Linked DNA regions of Sus scrofa. The protein of the gene in region 3 purifies or fractionates together with the protein of the main gene of each other region. This does not show direct contact. Links are inferred from orthologs where the notes say so. Each region holds a gene or a part of one and is shown on either strand. Other genes may lie near its edges.

Evidence for each region.
Region 1: the proteins of CDC42 (region 3) and IQGAP3 purify together in Homo sapiens (affinity purification with mass spectrometry; 4 studies listed by BioGRID and IntAct, with this or other methods). This does not show direct contact. The link is inferred for Sus scrofa from reciprocal best matches to the Homo sapiens genes CDC42 and IQGAP3.
Region 2: the proteins of CDC42 (region 3) and MAP3K11 purify together in Homo sapiens (affinity purification with western blotting; 3 studies listed by BioGRID and IntAct, with this or other methods). This does not show direct contact. The link is inferred for Sus scrofa from reciprocal best matches to the Homo sapiens genes CDC42 and MAP3K11.

What each region holds. Positions count from the first base shown.
Region 1 is NC_010446.5:93,511,034-93,514,778, forward strand, and holds the start of IQGAP3 (ras GTPase-activating-like protein IQGAP3), read left to right. Parts: upstream 1-1,199; 5' UTR 1,200-2,045; coding exon 2,046-2,265; intron 2,266-3,745.
Region 2 is NC_010444.4:6,639,099-6,642,843, forward strand, and holds the start of MAP3K11 (mitogen-activated protein kinase kinase kinase 11), read left to right. Parts: upstream 1-962; 5' UTR 963-1,152; intron 1,153-1,877; 5' UTR 1,878-2,433; coding exon 2,434-3,175; intron 3,176-3,745. Other genes in the region: PCNX3 (pecanex-like protein 3), read right to left, coding at 164-316. UniProt on the Homo sapiens protein: Activates the JUN N-terminal pathway. Required for serum-stimulated cell proliferation and for mitogen and cytokine activation of MAPK14 (p38), MAPK3 (ERK) and MAPK8 (JNK1) through phosphorylation and activation of MAP2K4/MKK4 and MAP2K7/MKK7.
Region 3 is NC_010448.4:80,033,755-80,037,499, reverse strand, and holds the start of CDC42 (cell division control protein 42 homolog), read right to left. Parts: upstream 2,466-3,745; 5' UTR 2,350-2,465; intron 1-2,349. UniProt on the Homo sapiens protein: Plasma membrane-associated small GTPase which cycles between an active GTP-bound and an inactive GDP-bound state. In active state binds to a variety of effector proteins to regulate cellular responses. Involved in epithelial cell polarization processes.

The DNA.
Region 1 (3,745 bases), on a different chromosome or scaffold from region 3:
GCCTCAAGTCCTTCACTTCAAGCAAGAATCAAAGCAGCAAGGGCTTGTTACTAGTTATAGCTTCAAAGACCATCTATCCCTTTCTCTTATTTCACAGAGGAAGGGACCTCTGAGAGCAGACGTGACTTGCCTGAGGTCAAAAAACAGTCACGTAGCTGGGATTAGAGCCCAGGTTTTCTGATTCTGGGCTAACTAGCCTAAGGTCCCTTCCATTAACTATGACTGCAAGCTTTAATGAGGCTTGGGGTGTTCCAGAAGTGAAACCTGCGCCCCCCCCCCACACACACACATTGTGCTTCTGGGTGGTAGTTTCACATGTGGGAACAGGGTGAAAGGTTGATGGTCAGGAAAGGCCTGGAGATCAGAAGAGCCTCTCTGCCCCCGGACTCCTTTTCCCAGCTCCACTGATCTGCAGCCTCCAGGTTCGGCTTAATGAGAGGACAGCAGGCACCAAGAGAACAGGCACCCACTGCCCTACCTCACCAAGGGTGGCCTGCATCAGAAAAAAAAATGTCCTCATTTATCTAGGAGAAAGGGCTCTTTTAAGTAGAGAGGCCAGGGCCAGAAATAAAATTATAAGGAAGTAGTTGGGCTCACAGCATTTGCCGGGCAGCCTCTGCTAAGGGCCTGCTGTTGGCAGACATGGTGCACACACCACAGTCAGCGCCCATGCCCGAGGCAGGTTCTCCTAGCTGCCTGCTGCTCTTGCCCAAGGGCTGGGCCTTTGGGATGCTACCACAGCATAGCCAGAGCCAAATATGCAGCTCAGTCTGCTGTTCACTGAGCAGCCTCCCCTAAGGGGTGAGGATCATTTGCAGAGGGGGCAGGGACTGAATCTGCTTTCACTGAGGTTCTAATGGCCACAATGATCTAGTGATCATTTCTGAATCACTTTCCTTGTTTGATTCCCTGCTGGTATCTTACATATCTTTGCCACTCTTTCCACACTTGGCTTCCAAAACCCACTGTGCCTTTTTTGTTTGTTTGTTTTTAGGGCTGCACCCGCAGCATATGGAGGTTCCCAGGCTAGGGGTCCAAGCAGAGCTACAGCTGCCGGCCTACGTCACAGCCACAGCAATGCCAGATCCGAGCCACATCTGCAAGCTACACCACAGCTCACAGCAATGCCGGATCCTTAACCCACCCATTGAGCGAGGCCAGGGATCGAACCCGAGTCCTCATGGATACTAGTCAGGTTTGTTACCACTGAGCCACCAATAACTCTTTCCTTGATTTTTAACACCGCTAATGAGCCAATAGTTTCTAAATGTATATCTCTAGATTTAGCTTGCCAAGTGAAATTCCTATTTCCTCAAATCTACCCATCCTGTGTATCCACTGTTACTTGATAAGCCACTAATCCAGTCTCTATGCTAGAGACCTGAGAAATATCCATGAACCCCCTGTCCTCCAGCTCCCAGTCCTACTGATTCTACCTCTGAAACCTCTCTCCATTGTACCCTTTCCTCCGCAGTCACATGACCGGGGCCTTGGAAGTACAGCATATTATGATTAAGAACTCAAGCTTGGAACTGGATTATCTGAGAGTTTGAATTGTAGCTCTACCGATTTTTAGCTGTTTGACGTTTCTAAGCCCCAGTTTCCTCCTTGCTCTTGCCCATGCTGTTTCCACTGACTAAGATCCCTCCCTCCTTCAATCGGATGAATTCTTGTTAACTTTTCAACCCAGATCAGCTGTCACCTCCACTAGGAAGTCTTCCTGTCTTTCACTGCTCTTAATCACGGCAATAATTTCCCTCTGTGTATCACTGACCTCTAAATTATTTGACTATATGTTTATCGCTCATTACAGAACCACAAGCTTCTTTAAGGCATTGATTGTGCTTATTTATCTCTCCATTGGCAACACCCAGTTCAGTGCATAGCAATAAGTAGGTCCTCAGGTTACCTGCACCAAAGAATACTACAGGAAGCCGAGAGGGGTTAATGGGAATATTAGGAGGAAACGATAGAGGCAGGGGCAGGGGCTAATTGAAGTAAGACAGTTTAGCAGCGAAGAGAAACAGCAACCAAAGTACGGCAGGATGGGGAGAGACCCTCCCAGCCTCGGGCGGCACCCTTTCCCTCACCTGGCAGCACACCTCCGCAGCCTGGAACTACAAATCCCAGGAGCCCCGGCGGCGCAGACCGGAAGTGTCCTGTTCGCCTGTGGCTACGGTGAGGGGCGGTGGCCCGGCGGCGGGAGATTCAAACCTGGAAGAAGGAACATGGAGGGGAGAGGAGCGGGCCCGGGCCGGGCGGTCTGTGAGTGCCAGAAGGGGCCGAGAAGGGCCCAGCAGTGGTGCTGCTCCTCGGGGACTCGGTGGTCCTGGGAGAGGGTGGGGCGGGGGCGGGGCAGGGGGGCCGTCAGGCCAGGAAAGACCGGACTGTGCTGGGTGGGGTGGGAGCGCTCAGTGCGGACTCGTGCGGGCGGGGGTAAAGCTGTGAGCTGTTTACGAAATGCTCCCACTTCTGTGCCGCACTTCAGAGCTTACAAAGAGCTTTTCCCCTTATCCCCAGATTCTGGGGCTCCATAACTTGCCAAGTGCTACCGAGGAACGGGTCGCCCAACAAGACCTAGGGGCCTTCCTTGACTTTTTGATGCCTCTTTGAGACAATGCCTCTCAAAGCTTTATGGTGTCAGAATTACCTGTGGAGTTAATTTAAAACGCAGATTCCTGAATCTTATCCCAGAGCTTTAGCAACAGTTGGTCTCTACTGGGACCTATAATGTGCATTTATAGCAAGCCCCGCTGCGCTTTTCCGATCACCCCAGGTAACTGTGTGTCTGTGTACCACGCTTTCAAAAGCACTGCTTTAGAAAGAGAGATTGGGGTCGGAAAAATGGGACTGCAGAAAGGTTATCATCTGACCTGAAAGAAAAGCAAAATTGAGCTCTTCTTCTACCCCTTTCCCGTCCTCTCCGTTAGGGTACAAAAAGCAAAGGCCACGTCCACCTATCTGTTGAAGGAAAGCTGGTTCCAGACCTGAAAAGGGCAGGAAAACTGATTTTTTTTTTTTAAGACTCTGTGCGCGCGTGTGTGTGTGTGTGTGTGTGTGTGTGTGTGTGTAAAGTCCTGCCCATCTCTCACAGTGCTCAATTCATAACTCTGAGATGATGTCACTCACTTACTGGTTTATTTTCCATGCTTAGCAACCAACACTTGTTCCTTTACACCCCCTTAAAGGAACCAATGGATTTCCTGCGATTGGCCAGTGCTTTCAAATCTGAACGTGGAGGGTGTGTGTATGTGTGTGTCTTTTAATTTGCTTAACTGCCACTTCAAATAAGCCCTGCCCCTCTCCCAAATCATATTGCAGGATATGTAATACAAAAGAGATAATGAGTGGGAACGACATTTAGTGCTGAGTCAAAGACAGATTTACTAAGCTCTCTTTTTAAGCTCTCTGACTTTATTTTCTTGGTGTATATGTGTAGCTTTCTCTCATTTTTTCTGATTTTGTACTGTCTTCCCTAAGGAGACTAGAGAGATAGGGAAGAAGAGAAGGGAAAAGATAAAAGGAGGCTGTGGCCCCCCAAAAAAATGTTCCTGTCATGGCTCAGTGGTTAACAAACCCTACTAGCATCCATGAGGATTCGGGTTTGATCCCTGGCCTCACTCAGTGGGTTAAGGATCTGGTGTTGCCATGACCTGTGGTGTAGGTCACAGACATGGCTTGGATTCCTCGTTGCTGTGGCTGCGGTGTAGGCTGGCGGCTACAGCTCCGATTAGACCCCTAGCCT
Region 2 (3,745 bases), on a different chromosome or scaffold from region 3:
GAAATTCTGGCCTCTCTTCCACACACTCCAGACTCCGCAGTGAATCCTCTTCCCACACCCCAGCGCCCCAGCCACAGCCCAGAATCCCTGCCAGGTTGCACCCCTTCGTGACATCTGCCCTCCCTTTCCCCGGCACGAGTTACAGGTGGCCGCAGCATCTCACCATATACAGCAAGAAAGGAAAGGTGAGCAGGAAGATCCAGACATAGAGATGGAAGCAGTTGGAGAAGGTGCTCTGGTGTGGGTCGAAGAACCAACCGCCGGTGAGCGAGGCCCACACCCCCTGGCGCAGGATCTGCAACACCTGCGACCCCATGGCCCCGCCGCTGCTGCGCGCGCCCCCCTCCCGGGACCCTCATGGGGGCGGCCCCCGGCCCATGCCCCGCCTGGCGCCCGAGGGCCCCGGGGCCCAACCTCGCGCTCACGCCATGGCCTCCCCCAGCGGGGGAGAGGGGTCGGTGGGGCGAGGGTGCGGGCAGGGGGCGGGGCCGGCCAGGGCAGTCAGTGGTGCGAGACCCAAGAGCCGGGGTGGAGCCGCATCAGGGGTGGGGTCCAGGCCCCCACCCCCGGCCCAGAACTGCTCCTAAGGGCCGGACCGGCGGGCAGGCGCAGGGCACGGGCCGGGCACCGGTCGGCGGCATCCAGAGGTGGGCGTGGGGTGGGTGCTCCGGGGGTGCAGACGACGGCTCCCACGGTTCCGGCCCGGGGAGAGCCCCGGGACCCTGAGGTCCACTTCCGGGGTCACAGGTCACTCGCTTTGGGCTCCGCGGTCGCCCCGCTTCTGCGGGAGCCGACCCAAGGGGGAGGCCGGAAGAAGGAGCCGCGAGCCGCCAACCTGCAGTGGCGCATGCGCCCGACGAGACCAGTTGGGACCCGGAAAAGGAAAACCTTTCGGCTCGAATGCGCAAGCGCAGGGAGGTGGTGGACCGATAAGAAGCGGGAGAGCCCGCTGGGCTTGCGCAGCTGAGGAAGGGACGATCCAAAAGGCACAAGTCCTTGAGCGCATGCGCACACCTAAGCGATGCCAACCTAGCCGCGATCACTGGGCGGAACGCGAGGGAAGAGTTACTAGAGGCGAGGAAAAGGATGGAGGCGTGGACACCCCTGGGGGCTAAAGCCACAGTTGTGCGCTACTGGAGCAAGCCCCTCTAGGTGCGCCCTTTTTAGCGCTGGACGTCAAACGTCACGAGCGGCCTCTACTTCCGGGTCAGAGCTCAAACTCAGAGTGTAGAGAGAACAGGCAGGACTAGTCGAAATAGGATAGTGTCGTTTTTCTTAAAGTGACAGGCTCAAGGCAAGGGGGTCCGTCGCGCGGTTGCGAGAGCGATTTAGCTATTCCAAGTGCCATCACTGGACAAATTTCAGGAGCACAGTCTCAGGTTTCCATCCCTTCTTGGGAAAGAGGCATGAATTGTTTCCCAGGTGAAGGGAAGCAGTAAATCTTAGACAACGCGTTCCAAGAGCTCCAAGTGCAGCCAGTTTCGTCCTCCATTCTTGCCTACCCCCACTGCCAGCTCTGCAAAGCGGAGCTCCTGGCCCCAGTTTCAGACATGAAGAGAATGAAGCGCAGAGAAAGGGTCACACGGCCCTGCAACTTCGGAGCCAAGACCACACTCGGGTTTGCCCCTCTTCCAAGCCAGGATCTTTCCCCCAGTTTTACAGATGCAGACGTAGAGGGCGGGGACGGTCCCTCCTTAGCAGAAACCAACCTCGACCTTAAACCTGTTGTCACGGGAGGTGGGGGCTACGGGCTACACTTCCTCTCCTTCTGCCTCTCATTGCCCGCCTACCCGGTAACTCCCAGACCAAATCGCCCTGCAGCCTCTGGGAGGGGAGCGGTGCTACCCGCCCGCGTCATCTGATGCTGTTTCCTGCAGGAGAGAGAACAGCGGAAAAAAGTGAAACTCCACCCTCCACCTCTGCCTCCCGCCCCCGGGGCCAAAGTACAAAGGGAGGAGGAAGAAGGGAACGGGGTTGGAGCCATCGGGTCGCGAGAGCTGAGCCAGGAAGAGGCAGCTCAACCTAGAGACACTCCAGCCACCCCCCTGCGCAGAGACCCAACGGGAGTCCAGGCACTGCCCCTCGCTGGCCCCACCTTTCACTTGGCGGGTGCTGGAGCTCGGCTCCCAGGACTGCTCTGGACTGAGGGACGCCCGGGCCCCTCTGTGCCGGCCATGGTGAGACATCGGAGGCCCTGGGGGTCCACCCCCCCAGCCTGACCACACTGCTTCCCTAGGTCGCCCTCCTCCGGAAGCCCGAGATGCGGTGGGCCGGGAGGCGACACTCCTGGCTCCCCAGAGAGGCGTGGGTCTGGGGCTGAGGGCCAGGGCTCGGATGCCCAGGTTCCGGGACTAGGGCCTCGGCCGTCAGCAAGGGTGGGGACCGGGGCACCCAGGGAAGGTCCCCCACACCCGCCAGTGCCAGCTCCCAGCTATGGAGCCCTTGAAGAACCTCTTCCTCAAGAGCCCCCTGGGGTCATGGAACAGCAGTGGCAATGGGGGCAGCGGGGGCAGTGGCAGCGGAGGTTGGCCAGAGGGGTCCCCGAAGGCTGCAGCTTATGCCAACCCTGTGTGGACAGCCCTGTTTGACTACGAGCCCAATGGGCAGGACGAGTTGGCCCTGCGGAAGGGCGACCGAGTGGAGGTGCTGTCCCGGGATGCAGCTATCTCGGGTGACGAGGGCTGGTGGGCGGGCCAGGTAGGTGGCCAGGTGGGCATCTTTCCGTCCAACTATGTGTCTCGGGGCGGTGGTCCCCCCCCCTGCGAGATGGCCAGCTTCCAGGAGCTGCGGCTGGAGGAGGTGATTGGCATCGGTGGCTTCGGCAAGGTCTACCGTGGCAGCTGGCGGGGTGAGCTTGTGGCCGTGAAGGCAGCTCGCCAGGACCCCGATGAGGACATCAGCGTGACAGCTGAGAGCGTGCGACAGGAGGCTCGGCTTTTCGCCATGCTGGCACACCCCAACATCATTGCCCTCAAGGCCGTGTGCCTGGAGGAGCCCAACCTGTGCCTGGTGATGGAGTATGCTGCCGGTGGGCCCCTGAGCCGTGCCCTGGCTGGGCGGCGCGTGCCCCCCCATGTGCTCGTCAACTGGGCTGTGCAGATTGCCCGTGGAATGCACTACCTGCACTGCGAGGCCCTGGTGCCTGTCATCCACCGAGACCTCAAGTCCAACAACAGTGAGTTCGGGGGAGCGTGGCCGGAGGGTGGCATGGCCCAAGCAGACAGCTGCTGCCGGCTCTTAGCTGAGCCGACCCAGGGGTTTCCTAGAAGTGGCAGCTCCTGCCCAGGATTGTCTCAGGTCCCTGGGGGGACCCGTAGGCTCACATCAGTGCCAAAGCAGGAACCCCAGGCACCCAACAGAGCCCCAGCAGGAGTCCCTAACCCCAGCTCACAGCTGCCAAGTTAAAAAATGGGAATCTCGGAGTTCTTGGCGGCTCAGTGGATCAGGGATCTGGCATTGCCAGGGCTATGTCTCTGGCGACAGCCGTGGCCCGGGTTCGATCCCTGGCCTGGGAACTTCCACACACCACGGTCTCTCGGGCGGACCATAAGCAACCTGCCTACCATACATGGCCACTAGCTCAGGGGAGGCGAGTCCTGGGCGCTGGCACCCCTCATCTTCAGGGAACTCTCTTGAGGTTCACATGCACCCACAGTAAAGGGGCAGCTTCTCCAGAAGAGAAATCTCAAAGGGGCAAGCCCCCCCACTGTGGCCAAAACTGGGGCCAGGGATGGAATTCTGGCCC
Region 3 (3,745 bases):
GTATTTAAAAATAAAAGTATAGTTTGACTTCTACTTCCAAGAATGTCTGTAAATACTACTTTCAGACAGGCACAGCAAACTGTAATTCAAAGTTTTCCAAATGCAACCTCTTAGATCAAAATATTTTATTAGTATAACTATTTTAAAAACAACCAGAAATGCTTCTCTAATAAACCGTAAGTGGAAAAAGTACCCGAATTTAAAAAAAAAAAAAAAAAAAAAAAAACTTGAAGTCACAAAAAAGTCAAGATGTGGGCTTGGTGGGCTTTAAGAATCTCGCTGATATTTAAGCTAGGCTGTAACACCTGCCTCAGATTCCCAAAAATTTAAATTTAACTGAGTACAGATGTTGTTATTATGTGAAAACATTTTAAGAACGTGCTATCTTTTGGGTCTTGGAAGAAATTACTGAGGAAGAGCTCATTTTTAATACACAGTTAATTACCAGTCTCTTATCACCTTGCCTCAATCTAAAAAAATTAAGACTCAAGAAATATGGCAGCAGGTAAGTGTTCCATTTTTATCTTCTTAAAAAGATACATTATGGCAAATAAATATATTTTAGAAGATCCAAGCTCCACACCTATCCAATCATCTACCAACACCTACACACTACAGAAAGCTGATGTAAACCTACCACTTTTAAGTGTTTCTTAACAAGCAATCTGTTCTCTCTATACAAACGAGAAACAATAGGAAAGCGCTTGTTCCAACATGAACTATCTTTACAACAATGCATTACACAACTGGATCTCATTTGCTTTACAATGCTAACATTTTTCTGTATTACACTACCCTGCAGTCAATGAAGGATATACAATTTAGGATGTACCTAACATTCTGTGATCCCAAGTCTGAAAATATTACTCACTTAAGTTTATTTGGTTAAAAATCCAAAACATTTTTAATTACAAAATTAAACTGACTACCAAGCAAAGATTAAGCGTAAATAGAACTGATTCTCTTTTCACACACCCTTACCACAAAAAGTGCACATGAGTTGACTTAGGTACATATTCCGAATCGGTAATTCATATGGGAGAAGTTAAACAGTCTGTGAATTGCATCTTAGACCAAAGAAATGCTTCCACAAATAAATTCATCTCATTCGGGTACAGTCAAAGGGATCTTTAAAGTTACTGCCTACGCAAGCGGCTGCAGAAGGTGTTGTCTTACGTTTTATTCTCTGGCACAAGTTGATCCGGAGATTTTAAACCCTCCTGGCTTTCAGATGCATATGAGACGGCCAGGATTTCAAAAGATCATCTCTGATGCGTTGGGAAACAGGTTGGCTAGGCCAATGGGTGACCCAACCAAGGCTACAAAATGCTGTCTTAATTTAGTGAGTCCCTGACTTGTAGGAGTTAAAAACTCTCACCCCTTATATTGCGATGACGTAATCTTCCACACTGCATTTCTCTGGGATTAAAGGGGAGGAAAAACACAAACGAACAAAGAAATTTTCCCCCTAATGAGAGGAACTGGGCAAAAGGCTGAACGACAGTTTCGGGAGGTGGTTAGGTAACTCCCTGAAAGGGAAGCTTCAGCTGAAAACGCAGGGAGAGAGTTGGAGAAGCAAACGGAAACGGCATCAGGAACTCGACCTAAGGCAGGAATAAAGGAGACCGGAGAAGCGGCGACCAGGCCCACCCAGTGGGACCAGGCGTCCAGCTGCGGGACCGCGGAGGGAGGCGCGTCGCAGGCAAACCCGGGGCGGTCAGCTAGCCGCCCGCTCCCGGCCGCCACTTCCCGGCCGCGCTCGCAATCCGCTCCCCTCCCCCCCGCCCGCCGCAAAATGTCTGCGGCCGCGCCGGGCGAAGCAGGAAGTCGAGGCCGGGGCGCGGGGGCAGACCCGGCCTGGGAGCCCGGGCCACCGCCACCCCGGGCAGCCCGGGCGCCCGCGAGCGTCTCCGCAGCTCCCGGCGCCCGGGCCCGCCGTCCGCCTCAGGGGTCCGCAGGGCCGGGGGGAGGGGAGCCGGGCGGCCGGGATGGGTGTGACCCCTTCCTTCCGCCGCTGCCGGGTGACAGCACGGCCGCGCCCTCGGCCCGGCACCCCACAGCAGGGCCGCACACCTCTCGGCCGACGTGCGCCCCCCGCCTTGCCCGCCGCGACTTCCTCGCCTCCGTCCTCGGACAGAACCCGGACCCGCGTTCGCCCGAACGGCGCTGCGCGAGCCGGGCACCCCCCCCCCCCCCACACACACACACACTCCACGCCCCGCGCTCCCAAGCTTCCCAGGAACCCAGACGCGGGGCGTCCCCGTGGACTGGGAAAGGCCGGGCGCGGCGCAGCGGAAACGGGACGGTGGGGAACCCGCTCCCGCGGGGAGCCTAGGACCCCGCACTCACCTCAGCTCCTCAGCCGGGGCGTTGGCAGCAATGCGCGGGGTCTCCTCAGCTGCGGACAGGGGCACGCGCCTGACGTCAGCACGCAGACGACGCAGCGTTGGGAGCCCGCGGAAGTGGGAGGGATCCGAGGCGAAAAGAGGCCGAGCTGTTCCGGGCGGGGCTTGAATTCATCCGCTCCCCAGGTTCAGGCAGCCTAGCGCGCACGCGCCAGGCGGTCCTGCTTGCTCTTTCGTGTGTTGCGCTTGTAACTGTTTCTCCAGTGGCTGTCATATATTTGTAATAATGCTATAAATGGTCGTTTGCAAAGCACCACAACTAACATTTCTTTTGATCTTTGCACTTTTGCAAAGTATCATCATCCTGATTTTGCAAAGAAGACAGCGGCTACTCGAAAAGGGGCATGACTTGTGACCACAATGCAAGTGGATGGCCCTCTGACTCCCCCGGCCCGTATGGCTTGAGAGCTGAGTGCTCGCTTCACTGCTTCCACCCTACTGTCTCTCGTTCCAGCGACATCCGTCATCAATTGGTTTAGAGACTTCCTCCCCACAACAAGGCCTCAGATTCACAATTTCCCCTGGCTGCCTCCTCTTCACCAGTCCTTCCGTTGGCCCTCTGCCTTCAAATGTCACTGCCTTCCTGATCATCCTATCCTCACAGCACCTGTTTGTCATCCGTCTTCCTTGCCAGTGTGCACACTTCAGAATAGGAGCCTTCTCGGTCTTTTCTCAGATGGTGCCTAGTGTTAGAGGAAAATAGCTTATCTTAAATAATAGTTCTTTATTTTTTTCTTTTTAGGGCTGCACCCCTGGCCTATGGAGGTTCCTAGGCTAGGGGTCAAATTGAAGCTGTAGCTGCTGGCCTACACCACAGCCATAGCAACCCGGGATCCAAGCCTTGTCTGCAACTTACACCACAGCTTAAGGCAACGCCAGATCCTTAGCCCACTGAGCAAGGCCAGGGATAGAACCTGCATCCTCATGGATGGATACTACTCAGATTAGTTTCCTCTGAGCTACGAGGGGAACTACAATAATTCATTTATTGATGACTGCCACAGTTATTTGGCCAAGAAAGACATCTATTTACAATATTTTTAATAGTCATATTTCCCTTCGGACTTTTTTTTTATTGTTTCGAATGTTTCATTTTATTTTATTTTATTTTTTGGTCTTTTTTTTTTTTTTTTTGCCATTTTTTGGGCCGCTCCCACCGCATGTGGAGGTTCCCAGGCTAGGGATCTAATTGGAGCTGTAACCGCCAGCCTACACCAGAGCCACAGCAACGCAGGATCCGAGCGGCATCTGCGACCTATACCACAGCTCACGGCAACGCCGGATCCTTAACCCACTGAGCAAGGCCAGGGATCGAACCCACAACCTCGTGGTTCCTAGTC